Tamandua tetradactyla: one gene and its partners. The protein of the gene in region 1 interacts with the protein of each later gene in a pairwise test. Links are inferred from orthologs where the notes say so. Each region holds a gene or a part of one and is shown in the gene's direction. Other genes may lie near its edges.

What was found.
Region 2: the proteins of MRFAP1L1 (region 1) and HTT interact in binary tests that used the Homo sapiens proteins (3 or more experiments, as listed by UniProt). The link is inferred for Tamandua tetradactyla from reciprocal best matches to the Homo sapiens genes MRFAP1L1 and HTT.
Region 3: the proteins of MRFAP1L1 (region 1) and C15H3orf62 interact in binary tests that used the Homo sapiens proteins (3 or more experiments, as listed by UniProt). The two-hybrid records come from large-scale screens. The link is inferred for Tamandua tetradactyla from reciprocal best matches to the Homo sapiens genes MRFAP1L1 and C3orf62.

The regions. Positions count from the first base shown.
Region 1 is NC_135345.1:6,192,111-6,200,493, forward strand, and holds MRFAP1L1 (MORF4 family-associated protein 1-like 1), read left to right. Parts: upstream 1-5,184; 5' UTR 5,185-5,439; coding exon 5,440-5,823; 3' UTR 5,824-5,875; intron 5,876-6,372; 3' UTR 6,373-8,230; downstream 8,231-8,383.
Region 2 is NC_135345.1:3,103,359-3,110,583, forward strand, and holds the start of HTT (huntingtin), read left to right. Parts: upstream 1-4,057; 5' UTR 4,058-4,253; coding exon 4,254-4,459; intron 4,460-7,225.
Region 3 is NC_135341.1:36,968,846-36,976,721, forward strand, and holds the start of C15H3orf62 (uncharacterized protein C3orf62 homolog), read left to right. Parts: upstream 1-4,708; 5' UTR 4,709-4,968; exon of another isoform or gene 4,969-4,987; intron 4,988-5,161; exon of another isoform or gene 5,162-5,280; 5' UTR 5,281-5,285; coding exon 5,286-5,695; intron 5,696-6,611; coding exon 6,612-6,703; intron 6,704-7,839; coding exon 7,840-7,876. Other genes in the region: USP4 (ubiquitin carboxyl-terminal hydrolase 4), read left to right, coding at 1,428-1,531, 3,275-3,363, 3,731-3,892. UniProt on the Homo sapiens protein: Essential for normal spermatogenesis and male fertility.

The DNA.
Region 1 (8,383 bases):
TATGGAGTTCATCAAGACCCTTTATTGGAGATGCCAGCCTCGCAGCCTGCCCTGTGGATTTGGACTCTCATTCCTACTCTTGCATGAAACACCTTTACAAATCTTATATTTACAGATATCTCCTTTTGGTTGTTTCTCTAGAGAACCTAATTAAATCACTGATGGTTTATCTTGTTCCTTTGGATGGGCCATAGTTTCCTGTTTGTTTTGGGTTTTTTGGTACATTTTAATATTTTAATGTGCTAACAACGGAATTTAGCCCTTGATCTGTCTGTTCCTTAAGTCCGAACCCAGATAGTGATATGACAGAGATTTTCTTACATGTCAGCAGCTAACAAAAACAAATGCATCACGAAAACCATTTTTCACAGTCTTTGCAAATTGGTTCTGTGGTGGTTGTTACTCTGCTTCAGAGTTTCACTCTCCTGCCAATGAAACTGCAGATCGGCCTGAGATGAAAGCGTGGTATCTTCTCCTGAATTTTCTGAATATGTGTCTTGTCTTGGTCACACTCTCATGGCGTTGGAAATTTCCTCATTTACAAGGATCTGAATATCTCCTCCTCTCCCTGTGAAATAGCCTCCTCTAGGACTCTTTAAGAGTTTGTTCCTCAGTATTATCAGCAGAAGCCCAAGAAGGTTTTGCAGGTGTGGGTTTTTGTGTAATGGAGTGCACCCCAGTGAGATTCAGAAGAGTCCTAGGGTGTCTTTTTCTTTCTTTTTTCCTTTTTTTAGAGATTTGTAGGTTTACATAAAAATGATAATACAGAGTTCCATATACCCCCTATTGTTAACAGCATGCATTATTGTGTTACATTCTTTACAACTGAAAGAATATTATTGTAATTGTACTATTAACTATAGTCCAAGGACTCCGTTAGGGTTCGTTGTGTTGTACAGTCCTACTTTTTAAAAATTTTTATTCTAGTAACATATACACAACCTAAAATTCCCCCCTTTAGTCACATTCAAATATATGTTTCAGTGCCATTAATTATGTTCCCATTGTTGGGCTCCATCATCCCAGTCCATTGCCAAAACTTTCCCATCACCCCAAACAGAGACTCTGAGCACTTCAAGCATTAATTACCCATTCCCTACCCACCCACCCCAGCCCCTGGTAATGACTCTACCAATTCCTATGATATTTTAAAGATAATTATATTAGAAGAAACACTATAGTTTGGACTGGAGGGGACAGAGACAGTGCAAAACGAAGAGAGCTTTGATCCTCCTAATTTTTTTAAAAAAGGAAGCAGTCTGAAAAAACTGCTCATCTGAGAGCACAAAGCAAGGAACTGAGGCCTTTGGCCAGCTTGCTTCTGACACCCGCATGAATATGCCATCTTGGAAGTGGGTCCTCCAGCCCTGGTCAAGCCTTGAGATGTCTGCAGCCCCAACCAATAGCTTGCCTGCAACCTTGTGAGGGACCCCCAGCCCCTTACAAACCAGGTGAGATAAAGTTTGTGGTTTTAAGATGCTAAATTTGGGGATAACTAGTAACACAGCAATATATAACTAATATACCACTGAAAAAGTACACTACAATTTATTTATTCTCCTGCTGATAGACATTTGGGTTATTTCAACTTTGGGGCTCATAATACAACTGCTATGTGTGTTCTTGTGTGTGTCTTTTTGTGTACATAGGAATTCAAAATCTTTTGAGTATGTACCAAGGAGTCAAACTACTAGGTCATGGGGTTGGTATATGCTTAACCTTAACAGGTCCTGCCAAACAGTTCCCCAAGGTTTTACCAATGCATATTCCCACCAGGAATAGTGTGTACGAGAGCCCAATTCTTCCATGTCTTAGTTTGTCAGGCCTGGTATAATAAATAAAATATCATGAACTGGTTGGCTTAAACAATAGGAATTTATTGTCTTACAATTTTGGAGGCAAGAAGTCCAGAATTGACGTAATGGTAAGCTATGTGTTCTCTGAAGCTGTAGCTTTCTGGTGCTGGCTCAATCTCTGCTCCATCCCATGGCGTGAGGATTTGAAGCTGTACCCACCAAAATGCATTCCTGCGGCTGTGGGCCCACTGTGGGTAGGATCTTTTGGTGAGTAGGATCTTAATAAGATATCACCTACCTCATTCAGGTGGGTCTTAATCCTCTTATTGGAGCCCTTTATAGAGAATGAAATTTGGACAAAGAGAGAGGAAGCCATGGAAACAGGAAGCTGAAAGCAAAGAAACTCAGAAGAATAGGGAGACCAAATGACACTGCCACGCGCCTTGCCAATTGCTGGCAGCCAGTCTTCAGGAAAAAAGCACCATCTTGATGACATCTTGATTTGGAAATTTTCATGGCTTCAAAACTGTAAGCCTGTAAGCTAATAAGTTCCCATAGATAGAGGCAGAGCATTTTTTAAAAACTTTTTTTTTATTGTATACTATAACATATATACAAAACAAAGAAAGAAAAAAGCAATAGTTTTCAAAGCACTCTTCAACAAGAGAGCCCAGAGTTTGCCACGGGCTACCATCCTCTCAGATTTTTCCTTCTAGCTGCTCCAGAATATAGGAGGCTAGAAGGAATAAATATACATTTTCTATAATCATAATTGACTTTTTTTTCTTTTTTGTGAAAAATAACATAAACAGAAAAAAAGCAATGAAATTTCAAATCACAGCACAACAATTAGTTGTAGAACAGATTTCAGAGCTTGGTATGGGTTGCAATTCCACAGTTTTGGGTTTTTACTTCTAACTATCCTAAGATACTGGAGACTGAAAGAAATATCGATATTATTCAGCAATCATAATCGTTTTTTGAACTCTACCTTCTCTGTTTAACTCCACCATCACCTCTGATCTTTCAATCCCAATCTTTAGGGGTATTTGGGCTATGGCCATTCTAACTTTTTTATGTTGGAAGGGGCTGTCAATAATATGGGGTTGGGAGATGGGACTAGCTGATGTTCTAGGCCCTAAAGGAGGTATTTTTCGTTTGTTTGTTTTTGGGGGAAGTACAGGATCGGGGAATCGAACCCGGACTCCTGCATGGCAGGCAAGAATTCTATCATGGAGCTACCCTTGTACCGCAACCCCCTCCCCCGCCCCAGAGCATTTTATGGTATCTGCTTTCAGCAGCTTAGTAAATAGAACATATGGTAATCTGTTTCCTTCTGCCCTCTCCTCTGGCTTCTTCTCTTGCTGCTCAATCATCTGTCTGTCTAAACTTCCTCTCCTCATAAGGACTCCAGTCACAATAGACTAAGGCCCACCTGGGTTAGATTTAACCTCATGTAAAAAGCATCATTGAAGATCCTATTTACAAATTAATCCCACAGGACCAGGGGTTAGGACTTGCAAGGAACACAATTCAATGTACCATATTTCACACACACACACACACACACACACACACACACACACACACACACACACACACCACAGTACTTGGGTATTGTCAGTGGTTTTAATTTTAGCCATGCTAGTGGATGTCTAGTGCTGTCTCACTGTGGTTTCATAAGCATGTCCCTGCTGAATCATGAAATTGAGCACCTTTTCATATTTATTGGCCATTTGGATGTCCTCTTCAATAAAATCCTGGCTCAAGTCTTTTGCCAATTTAATAATTAACTTTCTGTTATTGATCTGTTGTACTTCTCAATATTTTTTAGTATGAATTCTTTGTCAGACATATTTATTGAAAATATCTCTCTGCCCTCTGTGTCTTGCCTTTTCATTCTCTTGATAGTGCCTTTTGATGAACAGCAGTTCATAATCTTAATAAAGGCTAATTTATCAAACCAGAAACTTTTTAGAGTAGGGAATTATCACACCAGGACATGAGTTTTAAAATATTGGGCCACATGGTCCCCTACTTAGGAAATCACTATCCTCAATGCCCACCTTAGGATAAGAGGGGGAAAGAGACCCAGAGAGGTATGTTCAGGTTATCCAGCTTGTCCAAAGCCACAGAGCAAATAATTGGAAGAATTAGAGCTAATTCTGGATTACTCTGACTCCAAAATCTTTGATATCAAGCACTACAATTTACACAAGCAGAGTTATAATACACAAGCACACTTACATCTGCTAGTACTTTGAGGTTTGCAAAACATTTGCATGCACGTTGTTTCACTTACACCTCTCACCACCGACAGATACGAAGACTGGGATCACTGGCCTTTAATGGGACTGGAAAACTGATGTTCTTATCTTTAGCATGCAAGCAAGCGGGATTTCCCCAAATTACTCCAAGTGTGACATTGGGTGACAAGCCTAGAAATGTACGTCATCCATCCCACAATGACACACTTTCAGTGATCAAATCACATGGTCAATGAATATGAAAGCAACGTTTACTCAGCTGTTCGCCAGGTCCTGCGGGTGGGGGCACACAGGTGACCAAGACCAGAACTGCCCTCCAGGAGCCTACAGTCTCACGGAAGCACTTGATAATTTAGGGAGAAATTCCTTTTCTCTTAAACATTCTGAAAGGCCCTACCTGATGCCAGGCTGCCGGCAGGGGCTGAGCGCAGACCTGAACCAAAAGTGAACCTTTCCCTTGGGGAGCTTTTGGTCTGATGAAGAGAGACCAAAAAAACAGACCATAGTAACCCAGGTAGTCAAAGAAATTTCTCCAGTACAGAAGAGGGGAATGAAAGGGGCTATCAGCATCCACGGATTTGGGCTGAAGGGCTTTGTCCCAGCGAGGGCGCATAATCCGGTAGCTCAGAACAGGGGTTGTGGACCCAAATTGCTCGGGGTTCAAATGCTAATCATGAGCTTGGATTTTAGTTACGTCCCCACCTGTGGGCCTAGCTCACGGGTTTGTTGTGAGGGTTAAGTGAGTTCATTCAGCGTAACTTAAGCACTTCAGAGCAGTGCTTGCTCGGCCCCCATAGAATGCTGGGGACACCAAGGAGTCTTATCCAAATACGGGGTGGGGTGGGGGTGTGGGATTGCTTTTGCATATATTGCTTTTTTTTAAATAATAAAAGCATGGCCCGAGAGCACATATTGTTTTAAAAAAGTAAAAATCCGTCCACAGAAGCCGCCTCTGACGTGCCGAGCAAACCTCTACGGTCGTCCCGTCCCCCCGAGGGGATGGAGCGGGCACCAGCGGAGAAGAGAGGCGAGCATGCGCACACCCGCGATCCTGTTACGTGCGCGCGCCCAAGCCCTGAGTTTTTTGGAGGCGTGACCGTAAAGGGCCGCAGCCGTGTCGTGAAAGGGCCGCAAAGACGCAGAGCGCCGGTTGACGGCGGCGAGTCCATTTTGTGGGCCGCTTCGCTGCGTTTCTGCGAGGCGTTCTCTGCGTCCCAGCTGTGAATCGAAGGGTTTAAGCGGAGGAAGCGTTTTAAGGGTAAGCCGGGAATTCTGGTCACGGTTTGCAGTCCGGCAGCGACGTGATCAGCCCTCCCCGGGGGGGCGCGCGTGAGGAGGACGTCGATACTGAGGTTCTGAAGGGGTAGCGGGAGAACATGCGGCCCTTGGACATCGAAGAGGTGGAAGCCCCCGAGGAGGTCGAATTGCTGGAACCGGAGGAAGATTTCGAGCAATTCCTGCTTCCAGTCATCCACGAGATGCGGGAGGACATCGCATCGCTCATACGAGAGCACGGAAGAGCGTATTTGAGGACCAGGAGCAAGTTGTGGGAGATGGACAATATGCTCATCCAAATAAAAACGCAGGTGGAGGCGTCGGAAGAGAGCGCTTTGAATCACGTGCAGAACCCACACGGAGACGCCGATGAGAGAGTGTCGGAATTGTGTGAGAAGGCCGAGGAAAAGGCTAAAGAGATTGCGAAGATGGCAGAGATGTTGGTCGAGCTAGTCTGGCGAATAGAGAAAAGCGAATCGTCTTGAAGGGGGAGTGGCGGTGTGGCCGGCCTCCGGCGGGAGCTGGATTGATGTTTCGGTAATTGTCATAGCACGATTAAACAGCATCCTCTAAAAATGGTAACGTTCTGGGAGTGGTCCCCCAATTTTGCTGCATTAAAGATGGGGAATGGGGGCGATGGGGAAAATAAATGCGTTCGTTTGGTTAGCTGTTAGTAGATACTGTTTTGTAAAGCTCCTCCTCCCGCTCTGGTAATAGAGAAAAGTTCAAGTTCGTTTTCTTGAAACATAAGCGTCAGCTGTGGTAGTACAGTCGCCGGGGATACACCTGCCTCCGCGCTAAGGAAGGGGGAGGCGGGGAACCAGGCTGTTAGAGCAAACTAGGGGAGGGTGGGTGAGAACACAGGCAGAGAGAGATAGAAATTCCCAGATTTTTCTGGAAGACGGGTGTGTGGCAGCACCTTGTCTGTAAGAAGTGACATTCTTTAGATGTTTGTAAAAGTTTTTAAACATCAGGATATGGAAATCTGAGACTCAGAATGTCTTGATGGTAAATTTCTTCCAATTGTGCTTTAGGTTCACAGCTGATGGACTCTGGTCAGCGGGTAAGAGTGGACTTGAAGAAATTGAAACAGCTTGTCATTTTTACTGTTTTGTTTTTGAATGTTTTTTACCCCCATGTAACAGTCTCCTTCATGGTCGGTGGTTGATGACTTTGATACAGGTTTGTATTGTCAGATGTAATTGAATCTGTAAAAATAATTTTTGTTTGAGAAATACTCTCATGAGGGGAATGGGGCTTAATCAAAAGTTGTTTCAGTGGTCACATTTATTCTGTTGTTTTGCTGTGTTTTTGAAATGTTGGGCATGACCTAGTATTGCTCTCTGGAACTTTGGAACATGTAAAGACTTGTGATCAGAATCTTCCAACTTTAGAGGTGCACTGGGAAGCACTGCTGGGTTGCATCTGGTGAAGAATGTATAAACGAGATTGCTTTGGATCAGACTGGGAAGAACTAGAAGACTGTTGAAGATGGAAGATGGATTTGTAAATATTTTGAAACTTTAATTCCTGTATGAAACAAAGGAGGAGAGCTATGTTGTGTAGCACATGGTCTGATATATATTGTGTATTTTGTCAGGTGAGTTTATTTAGACAACCTAGCTCAGAAGTTTATGACATAGAAGTTTGAATAAAATGATGGGTGTGCTTCACCATTGTGATGCCCTCAACACATTATAGGGGCTTCAGAGTATAGCATTAAAGAGACAATCTACAGAAGTGTGGAGAGTCTGGAGAAAGGAAAAAGCATCATTAGGGCTCATAAAGTCCTTTCTAGTTCATCAGGGTAATAGACCTGATGGAGTTGAGGGCAAAATCAAACGTGGAATGTGTTGGTTTGCCTTGAAAAACAAGACTTAGAGAGCCTTTGTCTGAAATTTTCTTTTTGTTCAGATGGCCAAATCCTCTATGTGTGTCAATTAAAGAATTATAAATAAATTTCTTTTGAAATGGATATTCTTATCTGAGTGTTGGCATCATCAAAAGGGGGTAAACTGCTGTAGTTTATGAGGCTTTCAGTAAGCCTTTTTCTGTGAGGGAAAATTACTTTTGGAAGATGATACAGGGAAGAGATGACAAAACGCTTCCATTCTTAGAAGAAATTAAGTTCTGGGGTGGTGCAATGGCTCAGCGGCAAAATTCTCGCCTGCCAAGCCCGAGACTTGGGTTCTATTCCTAGTGCCTGCACATGCAAAAAAAAAAAGAAGAAGAAACTTCTGGCCAAACTCTTGCTTTTCGGCAGTGCAAGCATGTTTAGTCACTCAGTCCGTGGGAATGTGATGTGCTCCCTATTTTGGGCAAAGTATTTTGAATATAAAAGTAATTCATGGATTGGCACGAGGTGTGTGGTACAGAAATGGAAACAAATAACAATAGAGTGTGCTCCTGTGGAAACACTGAGGAGGGAGTCTGGGAAAGCTTTTTAGAGCAAGTGTTTTAACTTGGCCTTGAATGTTGAGTACAGCTTCTGAAAGTAGAAATAAGTGAAGGTGTATGGGGCACAGGAAGCAATGTGAGCGAACACCTGGGGAGTTCCAGCCCACAGGAGATGGCCAGTGAATTGGAACTTCAGAATGTGGAGGTACTTGTGGGAGATGAAGTGGAAGAGGCAAGCAGAGTTTATTCATCTTTATAAGCCTATACTTTTGAGGTAACTGTACTCTGGACAGTTTCTTAGTCTGCTACTGGATGTGCAAAAGCCATAGAAAAGGCATGGTGTCATTTCCAGAATTCCTAAATGAAATTTTGATGGTAGATAAGACCAAATATATGTTCATCATAATGAGCTTTGGTATGTGTTTTGGATTAATGTGTAAACTTGTCATTTAAAAAATAAAATATGTGAGCACAATAAAAATCTTATAGAAGCTATTTTGGCCTGGGTTGTGGTTTCCAGAATCTTGTTCATGCCTCAGGCTTTCTGGGTTCTTGACTACAAAGGGAGAAGTATTTCTGGCAGCCATTGGTAATTTCTGAGCAGGGGAATGATCACGATCGCATTTGTGGTTTAGAAAGGTTAACGCA
Region 2 (7,225 bases), about 3.1 Mb from region 1:
GGAGTGGGGTAGTTCTGTACTTTTTCAACAGCAGCAGAATAGTTTTATTCTTACCTGACCAGGCAATACCCAAAAATTTGACAGAGCATCTGGGTCCCTGTAGCTTATTTCAACTTACCACCCATTCCCAGCTTTCAAAGTGGGTCACCACTAGGTTAGCAGAGGTTTCTAGTTATGAAAAAGAGTTAATGGTTTGCATAACATCATTCATGTAATGGAAAAAAGTTATATTTTCAGGGGATTTCCATGTTTTCAGGTCTTGAGCAACTAAACCATGACAAATAGTAGGACTATGAAAATACCCTTGGGGCAACACAATAAATGTCCACTGTTGTCCTTCCCACATGAAGGCAAATGCAAATGGCTGGAGAGACCTAAAGAGGCACTGAAGAAGGTATTAACAAGGGTTAATACAAAATGAAATTGGCCTGAGTACTTACAACCTTTAACAAAATACCAATGTTTGGCACACCTGCAAATAAAGGAGGAACTACTGTATTTAGTTGTCTATAGTCATTTATCATTCACCAAATTCCATCAGGTTTCTTTACTGGCCAGATAGGGCAATTAAAATGGCTGTGAGTAGAAATGATAGTACCCACTCTTTGTAATTTCTTAATAGTGGCAGTGATTTCTTGATGGCCCCTGGGCAACTTACACTAATGCAGTGCCACAGTGCTTCTGGGGGAAGGTACTTTCACCTGTGACTACTTAACATATCTTCTCAGGATGTTTGGACCACTCTGTACCTGTTTTAGTTTGTTAAAACTGCCAGAATCAATATTCCAAAACCAGAATGGTTTTTTAAAAAGGGAATTTATTAAGTTGCAAATTTACAGTTCTAAGGTCATGAAAGTGTCCAAATCAAGGCACCAACAAGAGGTTACATTCAGTCAAGAAAGGCTGATGCCATCTGGAACACCTCTGTCAGCTGGGAAGGCACATAGCAACGTCTGCTAGTTTTCTCTTTTGGCTTCTCATTTCATAAGGATTCCTCAGGGGTGTTTTCCTTCTGCATCTTCAAAGGTTTGGCTGTGTGGATTCTCTTGGCTCTGAAACTTCTTCCAAAATGGTTCCCTCTTAATGGTCTCCAGTAAGTGTCTCCACCTTGAATGGGTGGCAATGCATCTCCATGGGAACCACCTAATCAAAAGGTACCACCCACAACTGGGTGGGTCACATCTCCAGGGAAACATTAAAAAAGATCCCACCCAGCAATACTGAATGAGGATTAAAGAACATGGCTTTTCTGGGAGTACATAATAGCTTTAAACCAGTACAGCACCAGAGGCAGAATTCACTTATGGTACTTTGCAAGATAATATTTTGCTAGATATCAATTACTAATATATATACTCTTGGATAGGAGATATATGTATACCATATATGTTTGAGGTGGTAATTGGCCAGCTTGCATTAATAATTGCTGCTGAGTTGCTTCAATGCCTTCGCCCATGTATCCAGCAATGGTTAGTGTAGGGCTCCCAGTTTGTGGCCGTTGCCCATATATTAAGGTACATTCCACTTCATTGTCTACTAAGCCCAAAACTCTATGCTCATTAGTGGGGGAGTCATTTCTATATGTGGCCTCTGATCCCCAGTGTCCCCATATATTTTTCTTGGGGATCTTGACCTATCTCCTATGCAAGGGGGAAGGGGGCCTTCCAGACCTCCTGGGTCAGGGGGCGGAGGGTTCTTTAGGTGGTGTTGGCTGAGTCTTTGAGCCAGAATCCATGTTCTCCTCTAGTGACCTGGTTTCAAGCTTAGTAAACCTCTGCTCCTTGGACCACTTGCTCCACAGTCCAACTGATACTCCATTTGGCTGCCCATCAATATCCTCAATTTAGTTTCAGCATCTATTAGGTATGTCTACATTTGTCTGTTTGACACCTGGTTCAGACCATCATGTCCCCTTGGGATTTGACCCATAGCTCTGACTTGAGCTCCCCTCTGCCTTAGGCGATCTGTCTCTCCCAAGTGTGCAATCATTTGGGTAGCCTGTGAGATGGGCTGTCCTATAAGTGGGCACCAAAGTCCCCTATCACTATTGGGATCAGTATGTAGAATTGTCTTGTTAATTCCTGTAGCATAAATTACACTCTCTGGTCCAATGGCACCCAGCATTTAAATTGCATGTTTCATCCCAAGCTCCCTTAATACATCGTGTAGTTCATCAGTGGTGTTCCAGTGGGGGTTGCAATGGGGCAGATCCCCCTCAATGGGCCACACCTTCTGTACTGTAATATAAGCCAATTAAATAGCAAATTTGTTTCCATTTTGGGGGCAAATGAATACATGCATCGACACAGAGAAAGATAGGTGGTGAGAGAGGACAATTTACTCATCTCATGCCCAGAGAGCAGTAAACCATAGGCACCAGTGTCCCACAATTGCAGTTTCCAATTTGATAAAAGTTCTTTAGGTTTTTGTCTATACTAAGTCCCAATCTCTTGTAATTCAGAGCTGGTAGAATCTTGCACTGTAACATGTATTTTTTTGCTGGCCCAGATGGGTTCTGACTTAACCTTATGTAACTTCTTCCTCCTTACCCTAGTGCAACAATATGCTAATATTTCCAATTTTCATCTGCTTGGCATAGCCTCTCATTTAAAGCATCTTTCCTCTCCACTTGGACCACCCTCCCATCCATGTCTAATTTAGGTTCCTATTCTAGGGGGTGACTACCCCTCCGCTGTCAAGGCCTCTTCCATAGCTGTTTGCATGGCCTCCAAGAACAGCCAGGCCACAGCTGCAGCAGCCCAGCAGCTTTCCTTTTTCTTATGAAATCCCAACTGTACTGTGGCCTGTTACAGCAGGATTTTTAGTCCAGCTGGGGAGTTACAAGCACCTCCATACTTCTTCCGCGACTCCCATTCATCCAGAACAGTACGCACCTGCCTCCACATGCCTGTTGCAGGCCATCCTGGGAAGTCTCTTTTCCCAGTACTTCTGCCTTTCATCTTGCAGCTTTTTGGTTTCCTGGCTGGCTCGCCAAATATTCAAACCCAACTCCACATCAAGACCAAAGAACACACTAGACAAAGAGTTACCAATGAATTTTAATTAGGGACTTAGAAGATTTTTCCCCATGAGCACATCAGTGACCTGCACAAACAAGAGGAAGGGAGCAATTTACAAAGTCCAGCTGAGTCTGGCTGAAATTTAGTTACCTAGGGGTGTCAGCAGTCTCCGGAGAGCTGGTTACCTACAGCGCTTAGGGAACGGGAGTTTTAATGCTTTCACAATACATTCTTCACCCTTTCAGGGGTGGGTCTGTTGACCTTTAATGTCTGTGCTCTGGTCAAGCTGGTTACTACTCAAGGCTTCATTTCTTACTAGCTTGCCACCCCCCAGACCCCATCCGCGCGGAGCCTGGCGGGGAAGATCGGACAGTGTCCGCGCGCCTGTCCGGGAGCCCCAGGAACGCCCTTCCCCGGGGCCGGCCGCCCAACGGGCAACAATCTCTCCCCCACCCCAGCTGCCTGAACCCTCCCTCGCGCGCGCCGTCCCCCTTGGCCCCGCACCCCTTCCCGCCGCGGGACCACCTCGCCCCGCCGCGCCCCTGCCCTCCGCCTAGCGCCCTCCGGGACTGCCCATCTCCCCTTCTCCTCCTCCCTCCACCCTCCTCCACGCCTCCGCCTCCCTTCCCGCCCCCTCCACGCTCCCTCCCTCACCTTGCCCCACCCCGGCTCGTCGCTGCCCCCTCCCACCTCACCCCTCGCCCGCTCCCATCGCCCTGCCCCTCTCCGCCTCTTCCCGACGCGTCCCGGGTCGCCACCTGCCCTGTTCTCTCCTCTGCCGGCGACCGCTCTTCTCCGGCCGCCTCCACCTCTTCTCTCGCTGCCCCCGGACCGCCCCTTCCTGGCGCGCTCAGCCCCTTTCCCGCTTTCCCCGCCCCCACAGGCCGGGCCCCGCCTTCCCAGGGGCGGGGCGCGGGGGAGCCAGGCGTCGCGGCGGCTGAGTGGGGCGCGCCTGCGGGCGTGGTGGGCCGAGCCGGGACCCGCCATTGGCAGAGGCTGCATTCCCCGGCCGTCAATCACGTCGTCCGGCCTGTCCCCGCCTCCGCCGGGCAGCGTCGCGGGACGTAGCGTGCCGCGGGGGCTGCCGGGACAGCTCTAAGATGGCCGAGATCCTCCGTTCTCCCTCAGCTTGCGACCCAGTGCCCCATTCATTACCTCACTGCTGAAAGGCGCCCCGCCGCCGCGAGCCGGGCCCAGGGCTCCGGGGGCTGCCCCGCGGGACGGGAGGCCGCCATGGCGACCCTGGAAAAGCTGATGAAGGCTTTCGAGTCCCTCAAGTCCTTCCAGCAGCAGCAGCAGCAGCAGCAGCCGCCGCCGCCGCCGCCGCCGCCGCTGCCGCCCCAGCCTCCTCAGCCGCCGCCGCTCCAGCCGCCACCGCAGCCGCAGCCGCCGCCGCTGCCGCCCAGCTCGGCGGTGGCTGAGGAACCGCTGCACCGACCGTGAGTGTCGGGGCCCGGAGCGGCGGGCCTGCCGCTGCCTCCCCTCCCGGGGCGGGACCTCCCGGTGACAGCCTGGGGGCAGCAGCATCTGTGTCGCCGGCCAACCCCTGACCCCGCCGCGACGGTGGTGGCGGCGCAGCCTTGTCCCCGAGCCCGGGCGCGTAACTCCCGGGAGAGAGAAACTCGCGCTTTCCTGATGGGAGAGCCGAGTCCGGGCCTCGGGTTAGCATGTTCTGTCCCCTCCGGGTCCCCCCGCTGGGCTCTCCGTCATTCTGGGAAGGGAGGTAGCGGTTTCTTGGGGCTCCTCCCGAATTCACCGAGGGGGCCAAGGCCCCAGTCCTCTCGCCTTGTCCCAGATGCCAAGAGTTAGGGAATGAAATAGTTTTTCTTTGCGCGAAACGGGGAGGGGGGGTTGCGCGGCTGTGTTTTGATGGTGGGAATTTAGAAGAGCGCAGGTTGCGACCCTTTTGGCTTCCTCCCTTCTCTCTTCTGACTTTGAGAGGAGGAGGGCTGTGGGTGCAGGCGTTCGAGAAGAGCCAGGACTTGGAGCTGGGGGTGATGCGGGGATAGTGGATGACATAATGCTGTTATGGGCCGGAGTGGTTGGGGGAAGGCGGGGGACTGAGGACGTCGTCCAATGGGAGAGCCTTTTTCAAAGTGGTGCTCGAGAGAGCCCGACTTGAGTCTCTGTTCCCAAATTCCCAAGACATTTCATTTAGTTCCTGAGTCCTAGTGGTAGCGACGTGGTTTAAAGCGTCACTGAACAGGCCTGCTAATCTAAGCTCAGGTGTGGGTCTGCAGACATTTGATTAAACTGTGGTTGCCAAGTAAGTGATGAGGTAATTAGATGATGGTTATTAACAAATGAGAAATAATAAAGTTGATTTAAATATTAAGAAAAGTTGGCTGAAGTTTATCACCTGTTTTCTGTTGGCAATAAAGAGGACACGTTGCTGAGGGTGGGTGAATGAGGTGTACATTTCGCTGGTATTGTCCTCAGGCTTGTAGAACCTGGGGTGTCTGTAGACTCCAGGGATGTCTTTTGCAAGCCGGTGAAAGAGCTTCCTTGATGACAGGCTTGTGTTATCTGTAAGCCAGGGATCTCTGCTGCTTGTGTGTGGGGAGAATTTTTGAACCAGAAGAAGAGAAACACCTTCTAAGAAAACCCAGGAAGTCTTTCTGCTCTTAGCGATTAACAGAGGTTAGGGAGCACCCTTCAGGCATTTTATTTCTTACCTGAATGTGTACACATGATGGCATTTAATAGGTACAGTTTTCAAGACGCAGCCCCTTAAAGAACCTCATTGATTCATTTTTAGTAAAGTTTTCTTGCACTTTCTGTTTCTGATATGATCCCTTCTGTGTCCTGAGAGTTTCATTAGAAACTGAGGAAATAGGATGGACAGGAATATTTACTTATTCCTTCTTCTGAAGAGTGAAAACTTGTTTGGGTATCTAAGGAAACTTTTAAACAGTTTGCCTTATCACTGTAGCAGGTAATTTATAACCAAATCCATTTCCATCTTTTATTTTATTGCTTCTCTAGGAGGTAGGTATCATGGAAATTTGTACTTTGCTTGTATCGGGAAACACTAAGCAGGGTTGGGGTTGGGAAGGAAGTCCTTCCTGCTGTCCTCTGGTGTCTTGTTCGAACACTGGGTCAAACTAAAAGTATGCCTTCTGTTTTGTACACTGATTTGACATAGCCTGAATTTGCTTATTTTCAAAATATGGGTATCAAGTGGTATCCTTCTAAAGCTGGCCGTCAAAGTAGGTAGTTTCATTATTTTAAGGTAATACCTGATTGGTTCATTTAAAATTGATTCATTTAATCTGTTATTTTTGCACAGGTAATATATTAATACAATAAAAATTTCAAAATTACTAAAGAGTAATGATTGAAATGCTTTTCTCCTACCCCTTTCTCTTAAGTACCTCACATGACCCCACACACAAGCACTGTTCCACTTTCTTGTGTGACCTTCTATGTGTAAATTAAGATAGACTTTAAATTCTTCAAAACAAAAGTATTTTAGAATAGTAACCTTTTTTCTTCACTTCTATTATTTCGGTTACATTTTAAAAACATTTTTAAATTGTGAAATATAACATATATGCAAAAAAGTAATAAATTACAAAGTGCATTGTAACAGGTAGTTATAGAATAGACTTTAAAGTTTGGTATGGGTTACAGTTCCATAATATCAGCATTTTCCTCCTAGCTGCTCCAAGGCATTGGAAACTAAAAGAAATATCAATATAATGATTCAGCAATCATACTCATTTGTTTAATTCTATCTTCTCTGTTATACTCCATCTTCTCCTTTGATCCTTCTCCCAATTTAGGGTATTTGGGCTATCCCCATTCTAACTTTTTCATGTGGAAAGGGGTGTTGACAGTATGGAATAGGGAGATGAAACTAGCTCATGTTCTTGGAGAGGCTGGCTCCTCTGGACCTATCTGGCCTAGGAACCCTCTGGAGGTTGTAGGTTTCTGGAAAGTAATCTTAGTGCATGAAACTTTTGTAGAATCTCAGATAGAACCCTAGGTGTTCTTTAGGATTAACAGGGGTGGTTTTGGTTGGGGGTTGGCAAACCATGACAATTAGCAATATCTAGCTAAAGATTGCATAAGAGAGTAGCCTCCAGAATATCTCTTGACTCTATTTGAACTTTCTTAGCCACTGATACCTTATTTTCTTACATTTCTTTTCCCTCTTTGGTCAGGAATGTGTTGATGCCAGACTCATCCCTGGGAGTCATCTC
Region 3 (7,876 bases), on another chromosome or scaffold:
CCCAAGATCGAGGGCTCAGCCTATTGATTTGGTTGTCCCCACTGCTTGCAAGAATATCAGGAATTCTCCAAGTGGGGAAATTGAATTTTCCCCATTTCTCCCTATTTTCCTAAGGGGACTTTGCAAATACTTCTTTATTCAGTGTTCAAATCACTCTGGGATTTAATCAGGGCACCACACTAACCTGGACAAACCTTCAAAATTTCACGCCCTATTCAAGGTTCCATGTATTTTACCCTGTCCACATACATTAAACTAAGAAATACACTAGTCAAAATATAAATTTTGTACCAAACATTTCTTGCTTTAGTCTCACACAGAAGCTGATGTTTTAAAATATGAATTACCATCTATTTTCAACACTCTGCAATACTGACATTCCTTTGTTCTTCCTCATGCAAAAACATTTTTTAATTTGTACATTTAGTCACTATCATTGTACACTCTAGACATTCCTAGATTATACCATCTCGGTCTTTATCGTCTCTCTTTCCTTCTGGTTTCTTCTGTGCCCCTAGCCCTTCTCCCTCTATCATTCTCACATTCAGCCTCATTCGGTGTACTTACATTATTATATTACAGTCAGGTAATATTGTGCTATCCATTTCTGAATTTTTACAATCACTCCTGTTGCATGATCTGTATCCCTTTAGCTCCAGTTACCCAATCTCTACCGTATTCTATCTCCTAATAACCTCTGTTCTTAACTGAAATTCTCCAAGTTTACTCATTAATGTTAGTTCATATCAGGAAACTATACAGTATTTGTCCTTTTGTTTCTAGCTAATCTCATTCAGCATAATGTCCTCAAGGTCCATCCCATCTCAGAATTTTTCTGTGGGCTGTGAGAGGAGTCCTTGAGTTTGGCTACTGTGGTACTGGGTTCCATGTGGGGCCCAAAAAGCAGACTTTAAACAGCTTTCCATGGGGTTGGATAGATATGTGAATTATAGACATGTCAATGGTAGAATCTCGGATTTGGGTATATGAATATTTGTTGTAAGATTCTTTTACTTTTCTGTGTGTTTGAAATTTTCAAAATAAAATGTTGGGATAAAAAGCATTCTTAGGCCTGTTGTGGGTATTTAGCTTAAATTATTATAGCACCAGTTATAATTCTGTTTGCAACAGCCACTTTTACATAGCTGCTAAAGAGCACAGCTACTAAATATCTGTTCACCAACTTCTTCGCCATTTGATCTGGTGGTCATGCTGTCCAGCCTTCTTCCATCTTCTGTGCTGAACATTGTCAGGACACAGACCTCCAGGGTCTCTTCTGATCTGTTCATTCATTCATTCATTCTGTAACTGATTTTGGGGTGCCTTTCTGTGTTCTAGCCTGTTACATAAAAGATGTTGCTGGGTTGCTTTGTTTTCTTTCTCTGAGTTTAACATACTTAAGGGCTAATTTTGCATTTTGTGCTCAGAGCTCTGAACATGTCCGAGTTTGTCTGTGACCTGTCAGCAAGGCCCTATGTATACGACCTCATTGCTGTGTCCAATCATTATGGAGCCATGGGGGTTGGCCACTGTAAGTACTGGCATCTGCTTCCTTCTGAAATGTTGAAACGCCCTCAGCCAGTCAGCTCTCACCAGACTATCCATGTAAGCCAGGCAGTGTTCTCACATTTTACTTTGACAGCTCCGCAGGCCTCAGGCTCCATGCTTCTTCAATACTGCTGCCCCACCATTCTTACTAGGTATCATCTCCTGGCTCAGGATAGCTCTTCAGTCTCCAGCCTTCATGTCTGCTTTCCATGCCATTTTTAAGCAGATCTCCCAGAAGCCTCTTTAACTCCTCTACATGCATTGCCTTGGCTTTAAGTTGGCCATGTGACTACATCTGGCTGCAGGGCTGGGAAATTAAAACTGTCCCTGCTGGAGTGGCTATTAGCAGTCTCTGATCATATATCCTAGAGCACTCACTGTTTTGCAACTTGCGTTTTTCTCCCAACATTAATTTTGTTACCTGTTTTTATGCATACTGGTCAAATGTATTCATTTTTAACTGCCATTTTAGCACATAACACTGGGTAAGTATTTCAGCCCCTCTGTGCCTCACCGTTACCATCTGACAGATTAGGATGGTTGTGTAGTATCTGGTGCCCAGCCCACATTGGGCCCAAAGTTGGAACTCCAAGAACGAGCCACCACTGCTGCTGTTTGGCTATGCCCAGACAGTGTGGATGAGCCCCTGAACCCCTTCTCTGTTGCTTTTTTCCAGGTTCCTCATCACACCTCATGCACTAGGCTCTTTAGTGAGGAAAGTGAAGCTGAGGGGTTTAAAAAGCTTGCCCAGGGTCACACAGCAAGAGCTCCATTAGATTCTGCAGCATCTTAAAGACTGGGGAAGCAGGAATTGAGGGTTGCTTCTGGGATTGCTGTTATAATTACATCCTACCTGCAAATAGCATAAATCAAGATAGAAAGTGTTAGCTGAGGGAAAATACTTGGGCCATTGTGTGGAATTACTATCCAACCATACATTCTTTTTGGAAGGTAGTGCATGGGCTGGGAATTGAACACTGGTCTCCTGCCAGGCAAGCAAGAATTCTACCACTGAATTACCCGTGTGCCCCACCCCCCATCCTTGACCACAGATTCTTTCTTTATTTAAATATTTTTATTGATAACATATAAACACAAGCATTCTTATACAAATATTGCATACATACCAACCATAGATTCTTGACTCAGTTTTAGAGAAAAATAAATTTAAGGCTTCTTGTCTGCATCCTACCTAGGTCGTTCTTTGCCTGCTTTGCAAACTGAAACACCCAATTTATCCCTAACAGGAATTATCCCACAGGCTCCACAGGGATTAAGAGTCTCATGCTGATAACAGTTGCCGTCTTTCTGGACACAGTGGGGGAGTCTGATTTGGCATACTCTTTTGAGAGCTATAGCTTGATAAATCTCAGAAGTGTGAGTTCCATCTTTGGGGCTCCATCCTCTAGAGTATTGCAGCAAGCCCAGTGACTGACACTGGGTTTCTCTATCTTTTGGATTAGTTTCCAAAAACTATAGTATAAAACCTTGGTCTCTGACAGCTTTATTCTGACCCTTTTATGTATTCTTTTTGAGGAGATTAGAAACAAAAGGGTGAATTGTCTTTTAGAAGACACAAAGTATATATTTTAATTTCAACTTTTTTGTTGTCTTTTGGTTTTTATTCTTTTGGTTAAGAAATATTGTTTAGTAGGAGTTTATCTAATAAGCTTGCCAGTTTCACTCTCTGGTGATTGCTACAGTGTTTTCTTTGTTGACTTTGCAGACACAGCATATGCAAAGAACAAACTGAATGGGAAATGGTACTATTTTGATGATAGCAATGTGTCCCTGGCTTCTGAGGATCAGATAGTGGTGAGTAGGCCCCATTATCTGGCTCCTCCTCTTAACTTTATGGATTCAAGTTGGGAAGGGTCTTGGGCTAGTATGGTATTTGGTCAGCCTGCTGTGACAGTGGGAGCTAGCTGTAGCAGAGAAAAGAGTTGGCTGCTATTCTTTCCAGGACATTGCCTAACCAAGAAGCTAACTCCCTTCAGCGTTCTGTGTCATTCCCTGGCAGGGTCAACATGAGGCAACCTCAAGTGAAAGAGCCTCCACAGTCACCTCTGTGTGGATACACAGATCCCCTAAAGTTGTGTGTTTGGAGCAGTGAGAGAGAAGCCGGGGAGAGTGGGTTCTCCAGACCAACCAATCAATGGACTTTTTCCTTCTTGTGTTTTAGACGAAAGCAGCTTACGTGCTGTTTTACCAGCGTCGAGATGATGAGTTTTATAAGACGCCTTCACTCATTGGTTTTCCGGGTTCCTCTGATGGAGGGACGAGGCCAAGCAGCTCACAGCAGAGCTTGGGGGATGACGAGGCTTGCAGCATGGACACCAACTGATGCTGCCTCTGTGACCCTGCCACCCCCTTGTACCAGTGTAATTCCCTAGGAGAATGTCTTTGACCCTCTGAAGACTGCTAGTATTCAGTCTAAAAAACAGATGAGGAAATTCCCTTCTTTTATGGGCAGAAGAAAAAAAAAGACCTTGTTTGCTCAGAAGGGTTATGTCAAGAGGCTGAATTATTTTACTTTTTATATGGGTGGTGAAAAATTTCTGTAAAACCTGTGGAGCTGCGGAGGGGGGTAGGGTGGGGGGCAGGGGGCACAGTGGAGTGTGTGTGATGGATTCCAGAGACTGGAGAGGAACACATTGTAATTGATCCTGGTGCAGCTAGGACGACCTGCTGCAGGGCCACCCTCGGTTCCTGATTTCTGGTTCTGGTGCCGAATGCTGATCACTCCAATAGTCTGCCCACAGTAAACCAAGCCTCAAGTAAACTTGGCATTGGTGCCTCCTCCCTTACCCTGCTCTGAGTTGGGTTTATAATTCCAGGAAAGTTAGTCACTGAAGTCCATTGCTGTCTCTCCTCTGGGTCTTCTTGGAACTTCACCTTTTTCTCCTCCAATGAAATGGAGACATTCAGTGGGGGAAAGGGGTCTCCTATCCCTCAACCTCTCGTAGAACTGAGCAGTTGTGTTATATCTCTCGCCAACCTTGATGAACGGAGACATTTAGATCTTGTGTGAAACCTGTTAGATATTACTTAAAAGAAGTTGATACACAAAACTGCTGGGTGCTGTTCCCATCCAGTCGTTTCCATTTTCGCTTGAGAACGGGAGCCCTTTTAGGAGTTTGTCAGCCCAGAAAAGGGCTCCCGTTCTTGCCAACTTTTGGTAACAAGCGAAATCCCCGCCCCTCCAGCCGGGTTCTCTCCGCCCCGCCCCTGGGCTGCCTTCCGGGCCACCGCCTCTCAGTGTGCAGGGCCTTTGCGTCCCCTCCCACCGTGTGGGTTCAAAGAACAGTAGGCCGGGCTTTTGTGTGTGACCTTTAACCCGAACCAAGGGGGTTGGTGTCGCCCAGCCCGGGCGCGCGCCGTGACCGTTGGCGAGGGCGGGCGGTGTCGCCGCACTGCTTGGTGAGGACGCGGCCGCAGGGTGCGGAGCTCGCCACGGAGCCGGGATTGCGGCGGGCGGGGGCGGGGCCGGGAGGCAGTGGGCGGCGAGGCAGGGCACCCCGGGTCTCCTGCGGCTGGGTGGTGGTTCCGCCCATCGGAAGGCGGAGGATACCTGCCGGCCTTGAGAGGAAGGCGTCGGGGGGGGGGGGGGGGGGGGGGGGGTCAACTCAGTGCCCTGTCGGGTGATTCGCCATCTCGTTTGTAATGGGATCATTCTCGAGTTGCTTTGTGCATTTTCAGTGTATTACGTAATAGAGACATGGTCGCTTTTAGGGGAAATGTCTGAGAAACTAAGAAGATGCAGGAAGGAGCTGACTGCAGCCATTGATCGGGCCTTTGAAGGAGTCAGTCATTCCCAGGAGTGCGCAGGTCACCGGAGGCTGGAACTGGACGCCTCGCCACTCTCTTTCCCCTTCCCTGTGCATAAGTTCCTCTGCAGAAGACACCCGCTTGTCACCTGCTCCTCTCCTGCTCCATTTGTGCCTGTCCCATGTGCTCCTGAAAACGAGAGCCCTGCCCTTGCACCAAACCATGCCCCAATAAATACAATACCACATGCTTTATGCCCAAAAAGAAAACCTCTGACCAGCAAGGAAAATGTATTGATGCATCCCTCCATTTTGGTACCTGAAAGTCAGTCTTGGCGAGCTGCAGGCGATGGGGAAAACTGGAGAAAAGAACATTTAAGGTGATTCTAATTTAATAGTTTAATATTCTGTAAGTAAGTGATTTCTTGTTTCTGAAAAAATTGTTGGCGATCCTAGATTGATTCCATGACACATACTGCTCTTTCCTTCTGTTTATATAGTTCACAGACATTCTTCAGATTCAGGCCCAGCAAACATGTTGTGTATTTGTGTTTGGATAGGGTAGAGGAGATTGTTGACAATCCTGGTTGTGGAAACAGTCATGGAAACTACTTTGCAGTAAATGTTAAGAAACCTGATTTTTAAAGTAACCTTATTTTTTGTGCGGCAGAAACAAAAATATTTTTAAATATTTTTATTGTAAATAGCAAACATTCTATACATGGTGTACAATCAGTTGCGCACAATATTATCACATAGTTGTAGAAACAAAAATCTTAATTCTAGTTTCTGAGCCTAGACACAGGGCCTTGACACTCTCCTCTGCCTACATTAGAGAAAGGTTGTATCAGTAGCTGGACCGTGCTTCCCTGGCTACATCCTTGCCTCTGCCTACCCATCTACCCCACCTCTAAGTTTTATAGACTATCACTGGGTTAAGGTCTCCCCTTGACCATCTGTTCTCCTGGGTAGTTTCAAACAGCTTGGTCTCAAGTGCCTCAATTTGGAGCAAGGTTGACCTTGTGGGATGAAATTTCAAGGTCCTGCTATCTTGGCTTCCCTGTAGGCAAGGAATGAAGAGGCCATTTAACTGGTTCAACTTCACAAATATTAACCCTGGTTATCAGGAACAGTAAAGCAAGTCTATGATGCTTGGGAGTCATTATGATAATGCTACTGGTCAATTTCCTCACTGGTTTTTTATCCTTAAGTTATATAACAAACTCTCAGTTTCCCTCAGATATTTTTTGAAAGAGGATCTAATCCCCACCCATTTTTTTTCACCCGGGGCTATAGGAAAGATACGGAGAGAGATTTGAAGGTTGACTCAAATATGCCACTTAGCAGTCCTACTCAAGAGGTCACAAAGGATCTGCTGGATATGATTGGTGAGTACAGAGGGTACATCTGTCCTGTCCTTTGGCCCACATGGGCCCCTAAATCAGCAAATGTCTTAGATTAAAAATTGTAAGACATCAACACTTTTTATCAACCATTCATTCATAAGATTTATTTTGCTCACAGTATGCTCTGCATATATAGCAGTGAGCAAAACAAACCCTGTTCCTTCCCTCATGGAGCTTACAACTTGATGGGGTCACACATCAAGTCATTTCAGAAATATCTACTTACAGTCCTTGAGGATGTGGTGGTTGAGCTTAGAACTGAAGGAAACAGGAGATAGACAGAGAGGAGAGGGCGTCCCACTGGGGTGGGTAATGTAAAGTTTGAAGAAAAATTAGGGCACAAAGCTCCCCTATACTTCCATCACCCAGGATATACATCCTGTTTTTTTCTACACACACATATCTGTGTATTGTGTATGTTAATTATATGTGCCCTGTTTTATTTAAAAAAATTTCTTTATTAATTTTTAAATTTAAAAAATATGTAACAAACACAAACATTCTTAACATATGATCATTCCATTCTAGCATACGTAATCAACAATAGTTGCATATTCATCATGATCATTTCTTAGAACATTTGCATCAATTCAGAAAAAGAAATAAAAAGATAACAGAAGAAAATTCATACATACCATACCCCTTACCCCTCCTTTTCATTGATCACTAGCATTTCAATCTAAATTTATTTTAACATTTGTTCCCCCTGTTAGTGCCCTGTTTTTAAATGACGTATTATAGTGTTCAAACCTAGTAAAGGGATGCTTAGCCTTGGACACTGCCTAAAACTGTTGGCTCTGAAGGGCCTCCGGGTCATCTGGGATGACCCCGGCTCTTGTTGCCTCCATAGGTCAGGAAGTCCCTGAGATCTAGGTGTGCAGCTCTGTATCCTCCCACTTAGATCTTCCTTGGAGACTGGCAGATGGTTGGGGCTTGATAAATGCCAGGGCCTGAAAAGAGGGCAACCCAAGCCCACCTTAATTTTCCACTGCCTCTCGAATTCCCAGCTTTGTGCTATCCCGGAAGAGTGATCACCTATTTATCTTCTTAAACATGTGCTTGAAATGTCTTTGAAAACTCTTAATGGAATTGTAAAGCTGAGTATTCTTATTTTTAAGACCATACAAGTATCCGAACTATTGAAGAATTGGCTGG